3 linked regions of the Alligator mississippiensis genome follow. The protein of the gene in region 1 interacts with the protein of each later gene in a biochemical or structural test. Links are inferred from orthologs where the notes say so. Each region holds a gene or a part of one and is shown on either strand. Other genes may lie near its edges. The genes, in order: TRIM72, UBE2H and INSR.

The links.
Region 2: the proteins of TRIM72 (region 1) and UBE2H form a complex in vitro, tested with the Homo sapiens proteins (2 studies listed by BioGRID). The link is inferred for Alligator mississippiensis from reciprocal best matches to the Homo sapiens genes TRIM72 and UBE2H.
Region 3: the proteins of TRIM72 (region 1) and INSR form a complex in vitro, tested with the Homo sapiens proteins (2 studies listed by BioGRID). The link is inferred for Alligator mississippiensis from reciprocal best matches to the Homo sapiens genes TRIM72 and INSR.

What each region holds. Positions count from the first base shown.
Region 1 is NC_081830.1:1,061,100-1,068,282, reverse strand, and holds the start of TRIM72 (tripartite motif-containing protein 72), read right to left. Parts: upstream 3,092-7,183; 5' UTR 2,903-3,091; intron 465-2,902; 5' UTR 463-464; coding exon 64-462; intron 1-63. UniProt on the Homo sapiens protein: Muscle-specific E3 ubiquitin-protein ligase that plays a central role in cell membrane repair by nucleating the assembly of the repair machinery at injury sites.
Region 2 is NC_081827.1:5,409,341-5,416,375, forward strand, and holds the start of UBE2H (ubiquitin-conjugating enzyme E2 H), read right to left. Parts: upstream 3,097-7,035; 5' UTR 2,930-3,096; coding exon 2,877-2,929; intron 1-2,876. UniProt on the Homo sapiens protein: Accepts ubiquitin from the E1 complex and catalyzes its covalent attachment to other proteins. E2 ubiquitin conjugating enzyme that transfers ubiquitin to MAEA, a core component of the CTLH E3 ubiquitin-protein ligase complex.
Region 3 is NC_081839.1:650,066-658,097, reverse strand, and holds the start of INSR (insulin receptor), read right to left. Parts: upstream 3,085-8,032; 5' UTR 2,884-3,084; coding exon 2,802-2,883; intron 1-2,801. UniProt on the Homo sapiens protein: Receptor tyrosine kinase which mediates the pleiotropic actions of insulin.

The sequences.
Region 1 (7,183 bases):
CGACCAGCTCCGGGGTGGAACAAATACACATAACACACCCCAATGCTCGGGGGAGGGCCGTACCTTCATCCGGTCGTGGGCCTCGGCCGCCGTGAGCACGCGGTGGCCCTGGTGGCGGCCCAGGGAGGCACAGAGGCCGCAGATAACCTGGCGGTCCTGCTCGCAGTAGACGCTGAGGGGGTCCATGTGCTCCTCGCAGTGGTCGTGGGGCACCTGGCGGAAACACTCGACCAGGTGCTCCAGGGGCTGGTTGAGGCCCAGCTGGTCGGGCCGGGTTGGGGCCCCGCAGGTGGGGCAGGCCAGGTCCCCAGGGGAGTCCCCGCGGGGGACCGCAGCCAGGCAGGCCCGGCAGAAGCTGTGGCCGCACTCAGCCGTGACCGGGGAGGAGAAGAGGCGGTGGCAGAGGGGGCAGGTGAGGTCCTCCTGCATCCCCCGGAGCAGGCGCTGCTTGGAGTTCGACATGGCTGGGGGGGCGGGAGAGGCGGGGGCTGAGTGGCTTGTTGCCCCTCTGCTCCCCCCATCACCAGAGGACCCAGGCGCCCGGGCTCCCAGCACCCCCCGCCCCCACTCTCACCATACTCCATGCAGGGGAGCCTGGGAGCCCGGACGCCTGGGTTCTCTGGGGCCCGAGATGCAGCCAGCTCTGGGGTGGAGCAGCTGACAGGAACAGGGCATGGGGACAACCCAGATCGGGCCTGAATCGGGGTCCCCTTTCCCGGCAGCTCCCTCCCCCCCCCACAGTCCATGTCACATGTGCAGCCGTGACATATGACATATGGCCGGGAATGCCAACGCTGCCCGGCATGTCCCCAGGCCTGGCTGACCTGGCTATAAATAGGCACGAAACAGGAGCCACAGGCTTCCACATGCCCCACCCCCCCAGGGAACTCAGGCATCTGGGCTCCTAAACTCCCTGCTCCCACCCCCCAGTCCAGAGAACCAGGCATCCGGGCTCCCAAACCCCCTGCTCCCACCCCACCAGGTAACCCAGACGGCCAGGCTCCCAAACCCCTGCTCCCACCCCGCCATCCCAGGGAACCCAGGCGTTTGGGGCAAGGTACCAGGCTGGGACCCAGGAGAAGGGCAGGGGTTGTAACCCCACTGCTCAGGGGTGGCATCTCCTGCGCCTCAGTTTCCCTCTCTCTAATGAGGGCATTCATTAGGGTTTGTTAGTGGGGGGAGGACCCCAAGACCCCCCCCTCCCCCCCAAGAGCAGACAGGACCAAGGAACCCCTCAGACCACAGAAGGTCATGAGGAACAGATGGACGGACCATCCCCACTCCCAGCCTCCCCTCATCCAATGGGGCCGTTAGCACGATTGATGAGGTCATGGTTAATAGCTCGTGATTAATAGCGACACGTTCCTGGGGATGGATAGATGGGGGAGTCGGCATGGGTGGAGAGGGTGTGTGGACAGAGAGATGGAGGAGGAGTTGGTGGGATGGAGGGACGGATGGGTGGATGGATGGATGGATGGATGGGTGCCTGGAATGATGGCTGGATAGATGGAGGGAGGGAGAGAGGGATAGAGTAGATGTGGATAAATAGGTAGATGGATTGAACGATGAATCAATCAGCTATATGGGGTGGAGGGACGGATGGAGAAGACCATGGATAGATGGATGGGCAGATGGCTAGATGGATGACTACAAATGGACGGATGGATGGAGACATCCATGGAGGGAAGGTTGGATGGATGGAGGTTGGGTTGGGATGGACGGATGGATGGACAATACTTCATTATTAGGGATGGAGGGAGGGATGGGTGGACAATGACTCGTCCTCATCTGTGGAGGGATGGATGGATGGATGGTTGGGGGACAGAGGGAGGGATGGAGGTTGGGTTGGTTGCTTGGATGGATGGGTAGATAGACAATGACTCGTCATTATGGATGGACAGATAGACGGATGGAGGGATGGACAGAGGGGTGGAGGGATGGGCAGTGACTCATGATGCGGCCAGAGGGATGGACTGGACGGAGGGATGGACACACGGGGGAGGGGCAGCTGGGCAGTGACTTGTGATTATTCATGAGCGCCGGTGCCATGCCAATAGCTCCTGGCCCCGCCCCCAGCACTGCAGGGCCTGGCCCCTGGCCAGCTGCAATGGGCCTGCCCCATGCCCCCCATGCTGGTCTCTATAGGGCTACCCTCTGTTCCCCCAGTCCGTCCCTATAGGCTGTATATGTCCCTGGAGTCCCCTTGAGCTACCCCATACCCCCCCCCACTGGTCCCTATAGGCTGCATATAGCCCCCAAATCCCCTTCATCTCCCCATTCCCCCCTGCACCAGTCCCTATAGGAATAAGGACACTGCACCCCAAGCCCTCCCCCAGTGGTCCCTATAGAGGTCCTCTTGATGTACCCCATCCCCCCCGCTCTGGTCCCTATAGACTGTAGGGTCCCCTTTATGTCCTCCAGACACCAGTCCCTACAGGTATACCCCCATGCCCCACTCCACTGGTCCTTACAGGCTATATCGCTCTGCGGTCCCCTTGAGCTACCCCATACTCTCACACTGGTCCCTATAGACTGTAGGGCATCCCTTATCTCCTCCATGCCCCACTACACTTGTCCTTATAGACAAAGAGGTACCCCACACTCCCTCATGGATCCCTATAGGCTGTAAATGGCCTCGGGGACACTCCAGACCCATCTCTATAGGCTGTATATGGCTCCGGGGATACCCCAGACCCCCCCATACTGGTTCCAATAGGCTGTATATGGCCACAGGAACACCCCATACCCCCCATACCAGTCCCTATAAACTCTATTTGGCCCAGGGGCACCCCATACCCCCTTGTACCAGTCTTTATAGGCTGTATATAGTCCCAGGGTCACCCCATGCTCCCCCACTGGTCCCTACAGGGTCTATATGGCCCAGGGAGCCGTGGGTACTCACCGGCAGTCTTTGGGGGCGGCTGGAGGGTGCTGGAGCTGGAGACTGAGAGGTGGCGGCTGCTCCAGCCCCTATATAGCCCTGGCACCGGTCCCAGGGAACCCAGGCATCTGGCCAGGTTGCGGAGAGGCAGCGGGGCGGGAGGAGGGCACCTGGCAGCGGGGCTCTCCCGGACGCCTGGGTCCCTTGTCCTGGGGGAGTCCCCCCACCCGCCGGTGGGGGCAGGCCCGGACACCTGGGGTCTCCTCCCCGACCCCTTTAGGGCTGTGACCCCTGGGTTCCCAAGCCCCCTCGCCTCCCCTTCAAAACTGCCCCCCCCTCCCATGAGGGCTGTGACCTGGATGCCTGGGCTCTCTGGGGTGGTTGAGGGTGGGAGCAGGGGGTTTAGGAGCCCGGACGCCTGGGTAGTCTGGGCAGGGAGTGGGGGCTGCGGGCTGTCCCAGACGCCTGGGTCCCCACAGGCGTCCCTTCCCCCCAGCTGCTCTCCCAGGCTGACGGGGTCAGGTTTCCCCAGCCAGGAAGTAGCAGGCAGGGCTGGCAGCTGCCAGGAGCCCCGACACCTGGGTTCTGGGGGGACGGGGCGGGGAGCAGGGCATGCTGGGAGCCCGGCCGCCGGGGTCCTTTGGGGAGGTTGTAGAAGAGCCCATAGGGTCAGGGGTTAGGGGTAGGGTTATGGATAAGGGGTATAATTAGGGGTAGGGTTGTGGTCCTGGACGCCTGGCTCTTTGCTTAGGGAGCTTGGAGGGGCAGATCACCACCTGCCGGACCCCTGGGCTCTTTGGGAGGGGGTGGGGGGCGGGTCCTGGAGTGGGAGGGGGGACACCTGAAGTCCTGTGCTCATGAATATTAATGAGGGGTTCATGGTTCATGCATATGGAGGGAGGAGTGGTGAGGAGTAGGGGTGTGTGGCGGGGGGGTCTTGGACGCCTGGGGTCTTCCTCTGCACGTGTGCGTGTGGCCTGGACACCCGGGTCCCTATGCGGGAAAGCCCCTCTTACCCTATTCCCCGCGTATAACCCGCCCTCACATTTCCAGGCCCCCTACCCCGCCAAACTCTTCTTACCATATTCCCCCTATAACACGCACTTGCGTTTCCAGCCGGTGTTTTTTGCCAGGTGCCTTTCCCTGGCCCCCGCTGCCTCTCTGCCGCCTGGCCGGACACCCGGGCTTCTCTGGGCCCTCCTGATCTAGTCTGTGATTTGACTGGGGCTAGATGTAATGCGCACAAATGCACGCGTAGACGCGCTCTACACTTCTACGTCCACCCCCAGGTCCTGCAGAAGGAGGCCCGGCCCCCCCTTCTTCGAGGTCTTCTGCAGGTTGCTGGACTGGGACTAGGGATTTTGGTGGGGCATGCTGGCAGCACCCCGCAAAGCCCCCGTGGGCATGGAGATCGGCACCCAATGGCTTTGCCAGGAGCAACAAGGCAAAGCGACGCTCAGCGCGGTGAACCCAAGGAGCAGCTCATAGGCTGCCTTCCAGCCGGTACAATCTGTGAATCTAAGAGTTAGGAAGGTAATTAGTGCATTACTTAAGGGCCCTGTGACATACTCCAGTTTAAGCAGCATAGAAACCAGCTATAGCATTGCTGCACCTCCTCAAGCGCTGATTTTAGAGCTGGCTGGCTCATTTTTTTCAAAGCTGGATAGTCATTTTTACCGTGTGATAATCACTTTGTAGGCACAGCCAAGTGCAATTTATTGTGCCATTTGGCCGTTTGCTGCGTGATAATCGCTTTGCACTTGTGGCAAGCCTCAACTTCTTGTGTGATTCACCCATTTGCTGTGTGCTAATTGCTCTGCAGGCATAGCCTGTGTTGATTTATTGCACGGTTCACTTGTTCACTACGCAATAATTACTTTGCATGTGTGGCCGGTCTCAACTGATTGCGCCCTTCAATCATTCAGTCGCTGTGTGCTCATTATTTGCATGTTTGTCCAGTCTCAATTTATTGTGCAATTTGCCCGTTCACTATGCAATGATTATTTGGCACATGTGGCCAGTCTCAATTTATTACATGATTCACCTGTTCACTGTGTGATGAGAATTACTCTGCATGCCAGGCCAGTCTCAATTTATTGCAGTTTGCCTGTTCACTATGCAATAATTACTCTGCACGTGTGTCTGGTCTCAATCAATTGTGAGATTCAGCCATTCACTGTGCAATCATTGCTTTACATGCCCGGCCGGTCTCAATTTATTGTGTGATTCATTCGTTCAGTGTGTGATAATTACTTTGCACAAATGGCTGGTGTCAATTTATTGTGCAATTTGCCCGCTCACAGTGTGATAATTTGCATGTGTGGCCAAGCTCAGTTTATTGGGCAATTCCCCTATTCTCTGTATGATAACTATTTTGCATGTGGGGCAAGTTTCAATTTATTGCGTGATTCGCCCATTCACTATGCAGTGATTACTTTGTACGTGCAGCTGGCCTCAATGTATTGCGTGAATCAGCTGTTCAATGTGTGATAATTACTTTGTGCACATGGCCAGCTTAAATTTATCGTGCAAATCACTCATTCATTGCACGACAATTGCTTTGCACATGTGGCTGACCTCAAGTTATTGCGTGATTCACCCCTCAATTGGTAATATATGCACCATGTACCAGGGCCCTTAGTGTAAGAGTGTGCCCTCTCTGCTGAGCAACCCAGGATGAGTAGAGACTCCTGCCTCTGCAGCTTTCACTTTCTTGACCCACTGGTTCCCGAATGCAAGGGTTTGGGGTACCAGGTGCGGTAGCAGCCATGTTTATTGCTCCCCCCCATTTCCTCCCACCCTCGGCCATAATTATGCCTCCCCATCAAGGTGCACCTATTCCAGGCTTAGTGCCAGAGGCCACAACCTCAATGACATGCCATCCCTCTTCTCCAGGTTCGGATAACCCCAATGGCTCTTCTTCCTTGGGGATCATATCGGCACATCCAGTTTGCTGTGCTGGACTTTTTTTGCCTTGACCAGGCATGAACGGCAAACAACAGCTCAACAATAGCTTTCGGCCAATAACACTGTCCATATAGACGTCTTTCCTTTGTGTGTAGCTTGAAGAGGAAGATGTCACCATACAAGAATCCTTTCACGGGAGCCTTTAAGGCCTACGATGAATGTCACAGACGATTGGGGAACATCCCTATGGCCAAGGACAGCCTCCAATGGACTTGCTTTGAGCAGCCGGGCCCTAATAAGCAGGTTCAATCCTCGGTTGACTAGATGATTGCTTGAGATCCCTTCCAGCCGTCACATCTCAATGATCTAGCCTGGTTTCCCACCTGCAGTGCATGAATCCTGGGTCAGCAAACTATGTCTAAGGGGTCCGCGGAAGAAGTCGTGACACATCATCAGTAATGATCTGCTTGTAGTCGCCGTCCACACCTCCAGCTGGAATCTGGTCGGAGGCCCGCCAATGGAAGAAAAGGTTGAAAGCTGCTGATCTAGACCCATAGACTTGGATGTAGCCAAAGCGTTGCTCTTAAAGATAGGGGGAAGCTTAGGGCGAGGGCATGAGGGGCCTGCTGGGTTGAGCTGCCCAAAAGAGAGGGGTTTAGGAGTAGCAGGGGTAGTAAATAGCGGGAGTAGAAGATACACTGAAGGGTAGGGCTAGGATTTGGAGTAACCTCAACACATTGGAGGATTGGGCCAAAAGGAATCTCATGAGGTTCAACAAGGACAACTAGACCAACGTGTGGCAACTAGATCAATGTGAGACCGGTTCAATGAGGCCTACTTCAAATTAACAGCGTGTGTAGATGCGCCCTGCTGTGCTTTTTGGGGGGGTTGAGGGGCCCTTGTACACACCACGTTTTTTGCCCTTTCTTGTCCTGCACCTGCGTGTCTGTTTACACAAGAGGGATTTCTGGACCCTTTAAAAGCCTTCCTGGTGCATTAACTAAAACTCCTCAGCTGTAGTTTATTTTGGCTTGCCAGGAACTAAAGCGTCACGTCTGTGGATTTGTTGTGTGCGAACACAAAGGCACTCAAAGTCATAAGGAGCCTCTTGTCCACGAGATGGTGCTGCACCCTTCTTGTAGCTCAGGGCTTTGACTTCTTTCACTTTCCAATTGCTTCTGCTTTTTTTTTCCTGGTGTGGTTTGCTCCCTGCTGGCAGGGCCCAGGCAGGGAGTGGGTGGGGGGCCCGGGCTCTAGAGCGGGCAGTGCTGGACCAACCTGCTCTCCTGTGGCAGCGGTAGGGACCCAGCTTCATTCGTGCAAAAACCTACCGCGTGTAAACACAGGTCCGATACTCCCAGATAAACACGTTTACATTTTATAAGCCTACTAAAT
Region 2 (7,035 bases), on another chromosome or scaffold:
CGAGCCCGTGCATTCAAGCCCGTGCACTGCTATTCTGATGCAGAACAATAAAAACCCCTGCCTCCGAACTCTTGTAATCCCACTGAAAGTACCTCGAAGGGCTGGCACGGCCCAGTGGGGCTCTGATTAACAATGCAAGGACCCCGCAGATCAGCTGTGCGGGGCTGCCTGTGATAGGGATCTCCCCGAGCCCCCAATGCTGAAACCCTGAGGATTGGCCTGTGCGGGCTTCCACAGCCTTGCACTAGGCCTCCTTCTCCTTTCCCAGCCCCCACCCCCTGTATATAAACACACTCTTGTCACACACTCCATCAGCTGTTCAGGTTGCTCCGCCCCGGCCTTGGTTTCCGGGTAGTAACAGAGCAGCCAATCCGATGATTTGCAAGCTCTGCCCGAGGCCTTTCGCCTGCAAACACTTTTCCAAAGCAGGAGGCTTGGCATTGCACCGGGGCAACAGTAAGACGGGATGGCAACGGGCAGACGCACGGAGGCCCCCCGCTCCCCGTGCGGCAGGGACAGGAAACTCCTCTGCACCCCTCCAGGCTAAGATTTTCTCCACCCCAGACCCGAGGTTGATCAAATGAACCTGGGTAAATTCCCCGTCTTTGGGGACTACGCCTGCCTGAAAAGCCCTTTTGCGACCGGCAGGATGCAGGACCCTACCCGGGTTTGCTATTGAGCCCCTAAGGGGGGGGGGGAAAGGAGGTGACCATCAGCCCAACAGGGGCACGATGCAATGCAAATCCCTGCTTCTCGGCTCTTCCGAGCGTTTGCACAAGGTTTAGAGAAGGGATCAGAAGGGAAACAATGAATGACTCAGAGTTTCAGAACAGAATCATCCAGGCAATTATTAAACATCGGTTCACACACATGCATTCCCCAGGCAACCCGAGGCGAGAGAGAGAGAGAGATCAGCCAACGACATGACTATGAAAGGACACGGACATGTCGGGACTGAAAATAGGTCTGGGGAAGGAGGACCCCGAAACCTGTCAGAGCAGAAAGCAGCTGGGTTACTTTCCGGCCACCCTGTACCCTCCTCCGGAAAGGTTGCTCTTGGCAGGCTAGAAAACTATGCCACGATTATATCCGGAGACATGAAAAGGGAGATTGAGATGAAAATGGCAGCAAACAACACCCCCCCCCACCCAAAACACAAAACCAAACCAACTCGGAGGCATCGGGAGGAGCCCATTCAAGTACATTCCTCCAGACCAGTTCTCCCTCATTTGCTCACCACCATAACCAGCTCCGGTCCCCACCCCCACCCCTCCAACACACACTTATTTCAGACAATTTGCAGATCAGTTTACAGATAGGAGGATTACACACAGAAATGAAAAGGCCCAGGGCCTGCACAGCCCAATGCATCCTGGAGAGAGGAAGGCCAGGGAGACGACTCCGACAAACGAACAACAACAAAAAAAAAAATCAGGGAGGGAGGGGAGAGGTCGGGAAGAGTCATCTGACATCTATAACTTCCTAACTTTGCTGTCCACAAGACCCATCTAAGCCTCTTGCCTCAGCTCTCAAGAACGCTGCAGTCACAATAATAAGAGCCCCGGTTCAGAAAAAAAAAAGCCTCTGGTTTCTTTTGTCAGGGGAGAAACCAGCAGGAGATCAGAAGCCGACCAGGTCTGGAAGGGAAGATATTCGCCTCTCTTCCACCTACAGCAAAACGCAAACCCCCTCCACCAGCGTGAATATACCAAGTCCCTTCAAAAAAATAAAAATAAAACAAACAAAAAAAACCCCCCTGGCTCTTTGTCTCCTAAAATGCTGTAATCATCCTAGATGCCAGCTACCACGAACAAAAAGAAAGAGGGAGTCAGAGCAGAGTCTGCATCAAATCAGACTGGGCCTCATCGCCTCTCCGGCCCAGTCCTTTAAAAAGAAAGGCAATTTTCTTCTGCATAAACAACCGGGAAAAATCAGCCATCGATTGCGATTTGCATTTGGGAGAGCGCAGACGTGTGTATGTGTAACTCTAAACCCCGGGATAAAAATAGCTCCGATTCTACCCTGATCGCCAGTCATTTCCTATTTCTTTAAAAACAAGATTCGGGGGGGGGGGGGGGAAAAAAGAAATGGCCTATAAAGAAACAGCTTGTCTTTGAAGAAGAAAAAATTAAATTCAATTAAAAACAAAAAACCACGGGCACAAAAACCCGAATGGAAGAAGTTCTCGCTCAGCCGGGCGTCCCCGCGCCATCCGCGGGACCCGGGGCCGTTTCCCCCTTCCTTTAAAAGGAGGAAACCCGGAGAAGTTTGTTTCTCCTCCAAAGGGAGACGTTGCTCGTCGCCGCCCCGGGGAGCCGTCGGGTCGGGGATGTCAAATGCATCCCCCCCCCCCCCTCCTCCCCGCGTCAACGCAACTATTAATACAACTATTAATAAACCGAATTCCCCGCACAGCTTCCACCACGTCCGCCCCCTCCGCGCCGCCGAGAGGACGGGAGTCCCCCGCCCCAGAGGGGCACAAAAGAGAAAACAACAAGAGGCCGAATTAGAAATCAGGCCCGTTTCGGGAGGGGGGGGGTGTACCTGGAGCGTTACATAAACAGCAGCCAGGCGAGGCAAAGCCCTGCCCCTTTTGGGGTATTCCCCCACCCCTCCCCCCACACAGCGACCCCTCATTTGGGGGGTCATCCCCCTCTCCCCCAATTTAACCCCCCCAACCCCCAAGCTTTGGGCATGGCAGGGAGCAAATCATCATCAACAGCACACAAGGCTGCGGGGGGGGGGGGGCGCCTTGCCCCCACCCCCAGTGAGGGGGGGCAGGGCCAGGATGCCCCTGAGGGGGGAGGGGAGGGGGTGTCATCCCCCCTGGGGGGTCCCACCCGCGGGGGGGGGGCGGGGCGCCGGGAGGAGGATACAGCTTGACCACGTCGGTGTCCATGCGCCGCTTGCCCGGGCTGGGGGAGGACATGGTGCCCGCCGCCTCCCCCCGCCGCCTGGCAGCGCCGCGCCGCTGGGCAGGCAGGCAGGCAGGCAGGCAGGGGCAGCGCCGGCTCCGACCAGACCCGCCCGGATGGGCCTCCCTCGCCGCGCCGCGCCGCGCTCCGAGCCGAGCCGAGCCGCTCCGCCACCGCCGCCGCCACCGGCCCCGCTCCCTCAGCCCGCGCCGACTGCCCCGGCCTCGCTCCGGCCCCTGACGTCACCCACAGTGACCTCACCGCCCCGGCCCGCGGCCATTGGGCGGCCGCCGGGCGACGCGCCGCGCTCGGTGGGCGGGGCCCCGCCTCCCCCGCGCGGGGCGCCATGGGGGATGTAGTGTTTGTGCGCGCCGGGCCCAGCCTGCCGGCCTGCCTGCCTACCCCGGGCACCTGCGGGGGGGCGGGGGACGGGCACCTGGGGGCCTGGGTTCGAGACCCGGCTCTGCCACGTGTGTGTGTGTGTGTGTGTGTGACGGGGAGTGGAGGGGAGGAAGATCCATGGGCAGGGGTTATAGGGTATAGGCGTGTATGCATAGGTTTTATGATTGTGTGTGTAGGGTTTATGTGTGTGTGCATGTAGGGTTTATGTGTGTGTGGCTGGGGATGGAAGGAAGATCCATGGTGTGTGTGTGTGTATGTGTGTGTGTGTGTGTGTGTGTGTGATGGGGGAAGGGAGGAAGATCCATGGGGAGGGGGGTGTAGGGTTTATGAGTGTGTGTGTGTGTAGGGCTTATGAAAGTGTGTATGTGTGTGTAGGGTTTATAACTGTGTGTGTGCATGCATAGGGTGCGTGCGTATGTGCGTGCGTGTGTGTGTGTGGCTGGGGATGGGAGGAAGATCCATGGTGTGTGTGTGTGTAGGGTCTATGGTTGTGTGTGTGTGTGCATGTGTGTAGCAGAGGAAGATCCATGGGGGGAGTGTCTGTGTGTGTGCATGTGTGGAGGGTCTATGATTGTGTGCGTGTGTGTGTGGCCCTGTCCCCGGGGACAATGCAGCTGCCCTGGTCGCAGGAGCGTCCGCGAGGCCCGTCTGCCCCAGACGCTGTCGTCCCGCAGCCCGGGCCGGCCCAGACACCCAGGTTTGGTGGCCCCGGGTCTTCCGGACCAGGCCCCTCGCCGCCCCGTGCCCGCGGGACTCCCCGGCTCCCACCCTCTGGCAGCAAGGGGAGGTGGCGGCAGCTATCGCAAATATCTGCACCTGTGGGGAGCCCACGCACCGGGTCGCTTGCTAGATCCGGGCACGGAGATGGCCCCGATCTGATCCAGGGGCCAGCTGGAGGGTCCCTATCGACCCTCATTGTCGATGATGGGGCTGATCCTGCGTCAGGCAGGGGTTGGACTAGATGTGACCGCTGGAGCCCCACTTCTCGAGGATTTCTATGATCCAGCCAGCAGCTCAGGCCTGAGAGAATCAGTGCAAGGCCCAGTCCAGGCACACGGGGCCTGATCCGGCTCATGGATGAGCCCAGCTCCGCTCCTCTGGCCCACGGCACTGAGAAGTTGAGCACCTTGTTCTGGACCATCGGATTTTACCAGCATCTCCTTCACACCGGACGTGTGTGTGCACAATCGCTCTAGTAATATATCCCTGCAAGCTGGGTGTTGCCAAGCCATTGATGCATGCACCGCAGGACAGACTTCCTGATACCCCTCCAATAGCCCTGGCCACTTAATTTCAAATGAATTATTTTTAACACCCTTCCATAATGATGCTTTCTCCTTCTATAGCCACCCACCGCCTGGGGAGCTCGGTGCAGCGTGTCCATACGCTACCCGCAATAGGAGATAAGAGGAAATCATAGGGCAAAGGGCAGAAACACCTTTTCGCCAGTCTTCTTCTTCTTGTGTCGTCACCATGCTCAAATCTAAGTCCAGAAACTGGCACCTACCGTTTCTCAGTGTATATCTTTAGCCAGGTGAATAGTTGCCCCAAACATGGCAAGCCAGCAGGTGTGCAATAGTCTGAAAGTTTCCTCCACATTCGCACGTGCTGTTTGCGCCGTTAGAGTATCCCCGCCGTCGCCTGTGAACTTGAGTCTTGCCGATCCCCGTTCGGAGACAGTTCAAGCTTCTCCATGTTTGCCAATCAAACTCGGCGTCTGCAGGGAGATGTTTGGCAGTTTTGATATTCATCCTAACTCCCTCCTGGGTCATCTCTAGATGCGAGTGCCACATTTTTATTCATGTGGCTGTCGGTATTTCATCTCCGGTACTTTAACCAATATTTGAGTGTTTGCATTCATTTCTGCCTTGCTGGCGAGAGCTTTGTTCGGCTTCTGAGATTATTCTGAGATTATTACTGTTTCTTTTTATATGGATAACAGTGTTTTATGTGCGTCCTTGCAATGTCAAGGCCTTCCAATGAAATATTAACACAAATAGACAGAGTCCCTGCCCTCGAGAGCATACAATCAGAGGGACAGAGGCTAGGCAGAGATCAAAGGAACATGTGTTGGGGCTGGTGATGACTTGGCTTGCTATTTTTGTACCTGTTTGTGGCGATGGCGTTATGCTGACTTTGGTGAGTGCTGCTGGAAGATGTGGGTTTATAGGAGACAGCTGGGAGCCTGGGCACGGACATGGGAGGATCATTCAGTGCACAGAGAGAAAGCAGCAGGAGAGAGGGAAATGAAGCAGCAGTGAGCGTTGCTGGCAGCACAAAGGGACGAGATGCAATGAGAACAAATCAAGAGCGGAGATTTAGGCAGGGGCTGTGCTGAGCCGTGCTGCGCTGGTGGGGACGGGCAGAAGGAAACGCATGGAAGGACAGGGGAGGGGAGGGGAGAGGAGACGTGGCCAGGTACCCTACATCTGGTGGTCTTTGCAGCTGCCATAGGGAGAAAGGGTTATTGCAACCTGGGACAGCCATCAGCAAGGGACAAAGAGTGCTTCTATCCGCAGCAGGTTGTTTGAGGAGCAGCTAAGGATAAGATGCAGCGCCTGCTCCAATCCCTGTCTCCTCCTCCTGCACCTGGCAGCAAAAGGCAACGTGTCTCTTGCTGCTGCCAGGTACATTGGGGCCAGGGCTTGGCCTCTGCATCAGAGGCTCAAAGCAGAGCGAGGGGGCACCGTATTGCCCAGATCCAGGACCCTTGGATTTCTCCAGTGCATTTTAACAGCCTTCCAGCCATGGGACACTGACAGCCCTGGTCCCCCTGCTTTACCTGTGGCAGATTCAAACCTTCTTGGTGTCTTTGGGCAATATGCTTTGTAGTTGCGCAGCAGGGTTGACTGTGTCATTTTAGGAATCGGTTAGGCAAGGATTTATCTGCAATGGTCTGGCTAGAGCTGATCCTGCCTCGAGCAAGGGGTTGGACTAGATAATCTCTGGCGGTCCTTGCCAACCCTATTTTTCTATGATTCTACAATTCTGCGACTCTAAGAGCAGGTAGGAAGGCTTTGCTAACGTGGGAGCTCAGGCCACGGGGCTTTTTTCAATTTTCCACAAGCTCAGGGGCCAGCTGCAGACTTCCCGGCTGTCAATAATTTACAGAGAGGAAATGCTAGGACTGCGTGCAGATGCAAGCCTGAGCCTGGCGTGAGCAATGTCCCTCCTAAGCAGGCAGAATGGAGTGGCTACGGAAGCAAACAGCTGCTTACCCTCGTGTGCCCTGTGAGTGCTGCAATCTGGGAAGCGTGTGCTTGGGCCTGCTAACCGTTGAGACCTAGACGCTGGTAGCAGGGCAGGGACAGAGCCGCTCCGAGCACAGGACTTGAACGCTGCCAGTTGACACTGCTGCAAATTATTAACATCCCAGCTCATATGCCAAAGCAGGGCTAAGTAGCTCGAGCACATGGCATGAGGAAGGGGACTCTGTGCTTTTCCACCTGCCACAGATTGCCTGTGGGGTTCTGGGCAAGTCATTTGACCTTGTCTTGCCATCTGGCAAGCACTGATAACACCAACTCCCTCTGTCAATGGGAGGGGTGTGGAGGAAGGGGTGGCTTGTGTCACTAAGTTAATGAGTGTTTGCAAGGCACCTTGAGGTCATCCCGTGGCTGTTACCCTGCACATGGCCCCGTGGTCAAATGCAGCGGAGATATGTGCACCTGCCACTGGATGGGATCCGTATTGCTCAGCTGTATGTCTGAGGCCCTGC
Region 3 (8,032 bases), on another chromosome or scaffold:
CCGACCGACAAGGACCACCTGCCCATGCCTCCTTTCTTCCAGGTCTCACTCCATCACCTGCATCACAGGCGCCAAGCGCAGCTGAGTACATTCAGCTTCTTCATGGAGCAAAGTTACAGAACTGCTGCTATTTCAGAAAATCTGGGTTTGCCTTCTGCAGGCCTCGGTCTCTTCTTGCACGGTTCAATTCTCCTGAGCAGCTGGAGTCCACTGGTGTTGTAACCACTCACATGACCCCTCTAATTCTGTAGTTACCATAAACACAACTCAGTTTTAAGCAAAGCAGCAAGTGTTTTTCCACATCTCCCCTCAGCAAGACTTTCTGGGGTGAGGAGGGGCAGGGGCAGAAATCAGTAACAAGTCACTATGAAGACTAGTCAAGTGAGCTGCCAGCACAGAGAGACCAACAGTTCAAAAACCAGCTATTACGGAGTTTTTATTGGGGGGTTTAATATGGTTTCCGAAACAAACACAGAATCAGCTATTTAACCCTCAAATCCGTGCTCCAAGTGCTGCAGCTAGAAGGCCTAGCGCTGCTCTCACTGATGCTAGTGACAAAATTCCCACGTCGCTAGACGCCACTATTTCTGTCAAGCAGCGAGGCCGGCCAGAGCGCGGGCCTCAAGGAGGCTGGGAAGAGGCCTGCGCGCAGCCTGCCGCAGCGAGGACGCAGAGCCCGGGTGAAGAACACGCCTGTGTCCTGGGCCACGGAGCTACCCAGAGACGGTCGATCGGGGCAAGGCACAGCAGTGCTTCCAAACGCACGGCAGAGGCTCCTGCACACGCTAGTCTGCCAGTAACACCCTCAAGGTACTGAAGAGACACACGAGCTCCGATGTCAGACTGTAGGTTTCAAGGTAGTGTCTAATGGGGAGAACTACGACTGACACTTGGCTTAACGGCGAACAACAAGCCCTAACGACTCGCCGCAACAGGCTCCGGCCCATATCCAGAGTCCCGCATAACCCAGCACTGCACATGAAGACAATTTGTTTTGCTGACTGGAGTATTTAAAACCTGCTCGCGCGTGTGGATAACAGCAGCCATTCGGATCAGCCTAAACCCCTGGCACTTCCCTGCACTTCTGGTTTCCAGGAATCGTACGTGGGAAGGGGGCCGAGCTTCTATAAACGACGAGCGAGTTTCAGTCCGGTTTTCACAAGTGCTCGTGGCTCTCGAGTGATGGTCTCCACCCTGCGGAGACGGGACGTGAGGCAGGCACTGGCCAGGGAAGACCTCAACCGGAGGGGCTCAGACCCGGGGTCCGGCCCGTTTCATACTGTTTTAACAAACACGATCTAAGAATGAAACACCAAGGTTTAGTTTTAAGCACTGTTTTCCTCCCGTTAGCGAGGCCTGGGCAGTGAAGCATGCTCAGACCAGGCTATGATGAAGGTGAGAGTCTGTTTATATGCCCCTGGCCTCCTCAGATGACCTCTCTCAGGCAGCTGCTGTCTTTATTCCTGGGCAAGGGGAAAAAAACCTCTGCTGAGCCAAGGCCAATCCTCCTCCGACAAAGAGACTGCTTCTTCTGTGCTGGTTGCAGACTCCGCAGCCCAGCCCGAAAGGCTCAGCTGAGCCCTGGGAGCTGCTACCGCTTTTAGGGTTGTCGGAGAAATAAGAACGCCTCTGTTACGCTCGTCTCCGTGAAAGCGAAGGGCAGGCCGGAGCAACGGGCATCCCCGCGTGTACTGGGCAAGGCGTTCGAGAGCCGGTCCGCCGAGGGCCACCCACCCCACCGAGCCCGAGGCAGGGCAAGCCCGACAGCCCTTCCCCGCCAGCTGCCTCCGGGCTCGGCAGGTAGTCCTTGGCCACACGGGCTTTTCATCCCGCCGCTCCCGGTCCGCCCGCAAGCACAGCGCGCCGAGGGCAGCGGCCCACGCTACGGGGACGCTTCGAGGAGTCCCACGAGCGCGCCGAGGCAGGCTGGGATCAGAGCGATGGCGACGGCCCGCCTTAACCTCCAGGGAAGGAAGCTTTCCTCCGGACTGAAACTCCCCGTACAGCCAGGCCGCGTGCAAGACTCTCGTGAGAAGCTTGGCGAACACAAGACTGCAGCGACACGAGTCCAGCGCGGGGATCAGGAGCAACCCGTGCGCGTCCCTGCGGCGTAGACTCTCCCTGCCGTCCGCGACGCGCGCGGGACGTCGCGCAGGAGACGTGTGTGTCAGGGCAAGGCAGGCGGCAGGGGCAGCCGTCGCGCCAGAGCTCGCTCTCCAGAGTGTCGTGCGTCAATTTGCACAAGAGCTCTGTGCGCGTGTGGGCAGGCGTGCGCGCTGTCGCCCTCCAACACGCTCAGGTCTTTGCATTTGAGAAGCTGGCTGTTTTCAACCCACGCCGCAGCCACCTGTAGCCAGCCATCCCAAAGCCTTCAATGCGGGCCCTCACCTTCGGAGAGCTCCCGGTGCCCCGAAACACATGGGACCGACGGGGAGAGGCACACGGCGCTGCCGCGGGCGGGCGGGCACCATCGCCCCTCGTCTCCCCACCTGTGCGCGGCCGGCCGGCCGGCTGGCCCGGAGCAGGACACCGGCCCCCGGGCCCGAGAGCGAGCGAGCGAGCGAGCGGCAGCGCCGTGTGTGCATGGACCTGTGCCGGGGTGGGGTGGGGTGGGGTGGGGGCCGCGCCCGTGGAGCAGGGCGCCGGGGACAGTGCGGGAGCCCGCGGCCCGAGCCCGCCCTGACCCACCGCGCCGCGGGCTCAACACCCGGCGGCGGCCGCTGCGCTGGTGGGCCCGGCCCGGCCCGGCCCGGCCCGGCCCAGGGACGCGCCGCCGCCGCCCTCCCCCGGCCCGCACTCACTGTCGCCGCGGCCGTGTCCACACCAGGCCCCCAGCACCACGGCCACCGCCAGCGCCGCCGCCGCCGCCGCCCGCGGCCCCATGGCCCCGCCGCTCCTCACAGGCCGCGCGCCGCGCCGGGCCGCCGCCGCCGCCACCAGCACACCCGCATCGCCGCCGCTCCGCACCGCACCGCACCGCACCGCTCCGCTCGGCTCGGCCGGGCTGCGCGGCGCCTTCCCCGCGGGCCGCGCCACTGCACACGGGGCGCCCCGTCAGCCCGCGGGCCGCGCCAAGAGGCGGAGCGGAGCCGGGCGGAGCGGAGCCGAGCCCAGCAGGCCCGGGCGGGGCAGACCCAGCCGCCTCCACCTGCCGCTCCCAAGCGGCCCCGCCTCCGCCTCCGCCTCCGGCACGTGTGCGGCCCACGGGCCCGGCCCGGGCTCCCGCAGCGGCGCGAGGCGGCCCGCAGCCCCCTCCCGCCTCGCCCCGGCCCCGGCCCCGGCCCCGGCGGGGTGCGAAGGGTTGTGCAGCGCCGGGCTCTTGCTAGACCGAGTCCCGCCCGCCCGTGGGCCCGCGAGGCCGTGTGTGGGCCGGCTGGCACCAGCGCGTTGCCGCTTGCTGGCGGGAGCCCCGGCCCGGGCCTGGCCCCGCGTGCTGCCCCGGGCAGAGCCGCGCTGCTGCCACGCTTCTCCCCGAGGCTACAGGCCGAGGCCGAGGCCGAGGCCGGCGGGGGCTGCCTTGTTCTGTTACTTCAGGCGTCCGCCTCCAAGCCCCTCCCGCCAGCGCCGGCCTTGCTCCAGCCAGGAGGGGCTCCGGCTCCGGCTCCGGCTCCAGGCCGCCGGGAAGGGGAAGGGAAGGGCAGGGCGCCCCGAGGCCGGAGCAAGCGCCCGCGCTGCGGGGGTGCTCGCCGCCCCGGCCCCCTGCCCTCAGGGAGTAATCCGTCTACCACCAAGCACGGAGCAGTTTGGGGACAATCCTGTTCCTCTTTGTTCTATCTAAAATGACTGCTTCTTGCTGCAAGCGAAAAGAAAAATACATGCTAGCTCCATAGCAGCGCAGCGGTGCGCACGCCTGCGGTTCAGTCTACGAGAGCGCCCGGTCTGAAGGCCGGTCCCCAGGCGGGCTCCCCACCCCACCCCCGGCACGGCCCAGCAGCGCAAGGCCCAGCGCTGACCGCCGCGGCCCGCGCGCAGAAGGGGCGGCGAGGCCCGAGGGACAGAGCAAGACGCGCCCTGCCGCGCCGCGGCCCAGCCCTGTGCGTGTGATGGCAGGACTAGAGCGCACCTGATGTTGCCCGCTCCGAACCGTCACAAAAACCACCCTCAAAGCACTTTCATTTCAGATTGTTCCAGTTGCAGCCTTTGATCTGGGCTGAGCCTTTTGTGTTCACAACAAAGCACGAACCAGGAAGCTCGACGAGACTAGTTAGCCCAAAGAGCCCAGGACTGAAATCTCTTCCTGAAAACAGCACGGAGGGGAAAGCAAGGCCTCCAGCCGCGCAGGGATCACGCCGCGACGCGCAGCGGAGCTGCAAGGGCCCTGCCAGGAGCCGGGACACGCAACACGTCGCCTCTCCCCGCGTCAGAGCGCTGCCAACAGCACCAATAAAGCAGCTCAAACATGCGAAGGAGGGCCGGGCAGCGTTAGCTTCTCACCTCAAGGCTTCATCCGAGTCCGTCGAGCCCTCTTCCGTAGCCGCCCGTTTCCGACCAGGCTCCGTCGAGGCTGGCTCCGACGGCAGAAGCTACAACCAAAACGACGACAGAAAGGAGAACGGCGGCACAGCCGAGGGCAGGGAAGTCCCGCAGCCACCGCCGTGGCCAGCTCGTACGTCCTGCAGCCAGCGCAGCAGTTTTCTAGAGCGCGGGCTTGCCGTGTACGGTAGTCGGGCTACATTTCTCCACACCAGCAATCACCTTGAAACAGAAGTGCCGAGTCCTCCCGAGGTTCAGGGCTACACAGGCACAACAGGCATCCTTGACGTTGCTAGGAGACTGCTCAGACCACGCAAGATGTCTGTGACGCTAGGGAGGATCTGTCCCTCCGTTTGCAACTTACCAAGGCAAGGCTGTCCCGAGGTGATAATTTAATTTCCCCCTGGAGCGGAGAGATAAGAGCGCTCGTACCCGGATGCCGCGAGGTAGCCACTTTCAGTAAACACTGGAGTTTTTAATGGCAACCACCGCACCGAGTTATTTTCATCACTTCTCAGCGGCCGAGCCACCGCTGTTTGCCACGGTCCTCGGGAAGATGTCGCCCAGATAGGGAAAGATGTGGGCCTCAAAGTGAGAGGGAACAAATGCTCCTGCCTGCCTGTCCCACTCTGGTTACGTTCATCTCTGGACACTGTCTCAGCTCCAGGACGGTCCTAGTCACTTGGCCGCTGTTGCCCAATGCCATAAGGAAGGTCCACGTCCCGCTTGGAACGAAGGAAAAGCAAAGGTGGGACCTTACCCGTGCCCAGGTGTCGCCAGAGTAACCAGCCTGCTCCTTGCACAACTCCAGAGGCACCCGCTGTGCTGCCCAGGTGTGGCGGTGCCAGGGCCCCGACGCGCACGGTACGGGACTGCAACGGGAAGTTTGTGGTGAACAAGAAACACCGACTGTGCAATCTTTGTCCATGCCCAAGCTGGGTCGGTGCCGCCCTGTCCCGGCAGCACAAGGGAAGCCCTGGGCCTTTCACAGCCATCCCGCGACTTGGCTCCGTGGGCAGGATCTTGGTGCGGGCAGGTGCTCGACGCCGCACAGTAACACTGTGACAGCTTGGACAGCGACTTTTGCACAAAATTGCAAGACAATGGCTGGGGCAAGGCAGGCTTGCAACCCATCAGGCGTCAAGACAGCGGAGCGCTTGTGATACCCAATACCAGACCCATGCCATCAAGTAATAGAGGTGATGGTTAAAATTGTTGGCAGAGACCTGACACGCTCATCATGTGTGCAAGTAAGAGAGACAAAGAAAAGGCTGAGGCAGTGCAACTGGAGACGGCAAGGAACCTACGTATGCATTTCAACTGAACTAGCAACTCAAGATGACAAAAGAATAAATACGCATCTCAAGAGAAACCTGGAAAAGGCACAGGAACGATGTATGTGAGTTTTGTAAACAGACTGTCGCCGGTACACGCTATTGCAAATTTGCCCCATGGATAAGCAGATCCCCAAAGACAGGTCTGGTGACCAGTGCCTCTAGCAATCCTGTCTGAGCGCCCGTAAGTGACCTGTAATTGCAGGGGCTGCAGAGAAACACAAGTCATCAACACCTGGACAAGTCCAAAAACAGGAGCCAGGCAATTTAACTATTGTAATATGATGGTCACCCTTTGCCTCCCCATTTTGTTCCAACTTTAATCAGCTGACTATCAAGGAAAAATGTTTTGAGGCTATACAATTAACAGTGTAAGAACTAGCAAGGTGTGTGCAGTCCAGGGAAGACCAAGAAGTCATCCCGCCACCCGGCCAACAAGTGAAGGATCCGCACTGTGAGGCGGTACAAGAACTGCTTCCTGCCTGCATTGGGTAAAGATCTCTTTGCAGCCAAGATAATACGAGGACGAATAAGTCATGTGATATTGGGAAACAGTTATTTTCTGTCATTTAGTTTTGTAGCTTGCTGGTAGTTATTAAAGCAGGCCTTTCTGCTGTTCATCAACCGAGTGTTGCACCAATTCTTAGATCATTAGGTTTAGAAAGTGGGTTTTTAAGTGCGATGCTCGAGGGCCCCCAGGCAGCGTTCTGGAGACCTGCTTGCTCAAAGGACTTTTCCCCGGGCACTTTGCACTGCTGCTGCATGGGACGCACCACAGGTCTGACCCTGCCCTCAGACCTCCTTGGAAACAGGCTTCACATGCAGGTCACTGGGGACTCGGGGCTCTGAAGCTCGTCAGCAGACTGTTTGCGCGCTGCCAGAAGAGAGGGATGCACGTACTGGCTTGAAGAATCCAAGCGCACAGGTGAGAAGAGGGTTCAGCAAGGGCATTGCTTTTGTTCTCGGATCAAAGAGAAGGAGCATAGGATTCAAGTGTCCGTCCTGCATGTCTCCGGATTCATTAATGACTCTTGACACAGAGGCGGCTTGTGAATTTCTTACTGCTGGCATCAGCGATAAGAATTCATTACATGCCCTCCCTGGCTAACCACGTGTGCAGTGTCATGGTACAGCACCAGCATGGTACAGAGGCTCAGGCCTCTCATCTCCCCTGGTAGCTTTGATCTGTACCAGCATAAAACAGAAACAAGCTACGTAGCAGGCAAGGCAAATCTTCTCCTGTAAGGCTCTGCCGGACAGGGACCTTCTCTCAAGCCCTGGGAGCTTCTTGCTCCCTTTAAGGCTCTACATTTGCCATGGTGACTGGGTGCTCTGGGCCAGGCTCTCTCTATAGGATGCTCCCTGGGCAAGCACTGAGAAATCTTTCAGGACCAGATTTCCTGTTCTTCATGCCACTGGGAGCTTAGAACCAGGCATGCAGCTGGATTCAGTGCATAGTTCCATTCTGGAGGGGAACTTGGTGAACTGGTTTGTGTTTTCAGGGTCAGAACCACTAATCCGTGTCTTTTTTAATCCAGTTTCCCTGGTCAAGCCAGTGCAGCTGAGAGAGACCAGCTGAGCTCTGTTCTTTCCTGGGCACCAGCTAGAGTCCAGCACCAGGGCTGGCCACTTGAAGCAGCACGAGCTCACCGCAGCATGCTCTGCGCCGTGCCCCCCAAGGCTCCTTCCGTCTGTTGCCGACTCTCTACAGTTCGCACATCTGGAGAGAACCCAGCCTGGCTTCCAGAACCTGTGGGGCAGAGGTGGTGCAAAAGGGTGGGAAAATACGGTTCCTCATAAACTGCATTTGGGAACGAGGCGTGCTGACATGCACAAGGGCCCCCCAAGGCTAGCTGCACAGTGGGGACGTGCAGCTTGAGGACAGGGCCTGGCACGCATGCAGTCTGTTTTGCAGCACCGACTGCTCCCTCCAATTCAATACTGCAAGGGCAGCCGGGCTGCTGGCGGTACCATGCTGCACTGGTTTCACTTCTTGGTATCTGCAGCTGCAGACAGGTGACAACCGAGGGGATTGAAAATAATCCTAATTGTCAAGATGCAGGGAAAGCAACACTCAACCCACCATCTCAGTTGAAGTAACTGGCTGATCCACAAATCCAGGCAAACTCAAGGTAAGACCTTGAATCTTTTGCAGCCCAAAGGATCACTGCCAGAGATGAACCAACTCTCACAGACTACCTGGAAGGTGGATCAATAATAACCTT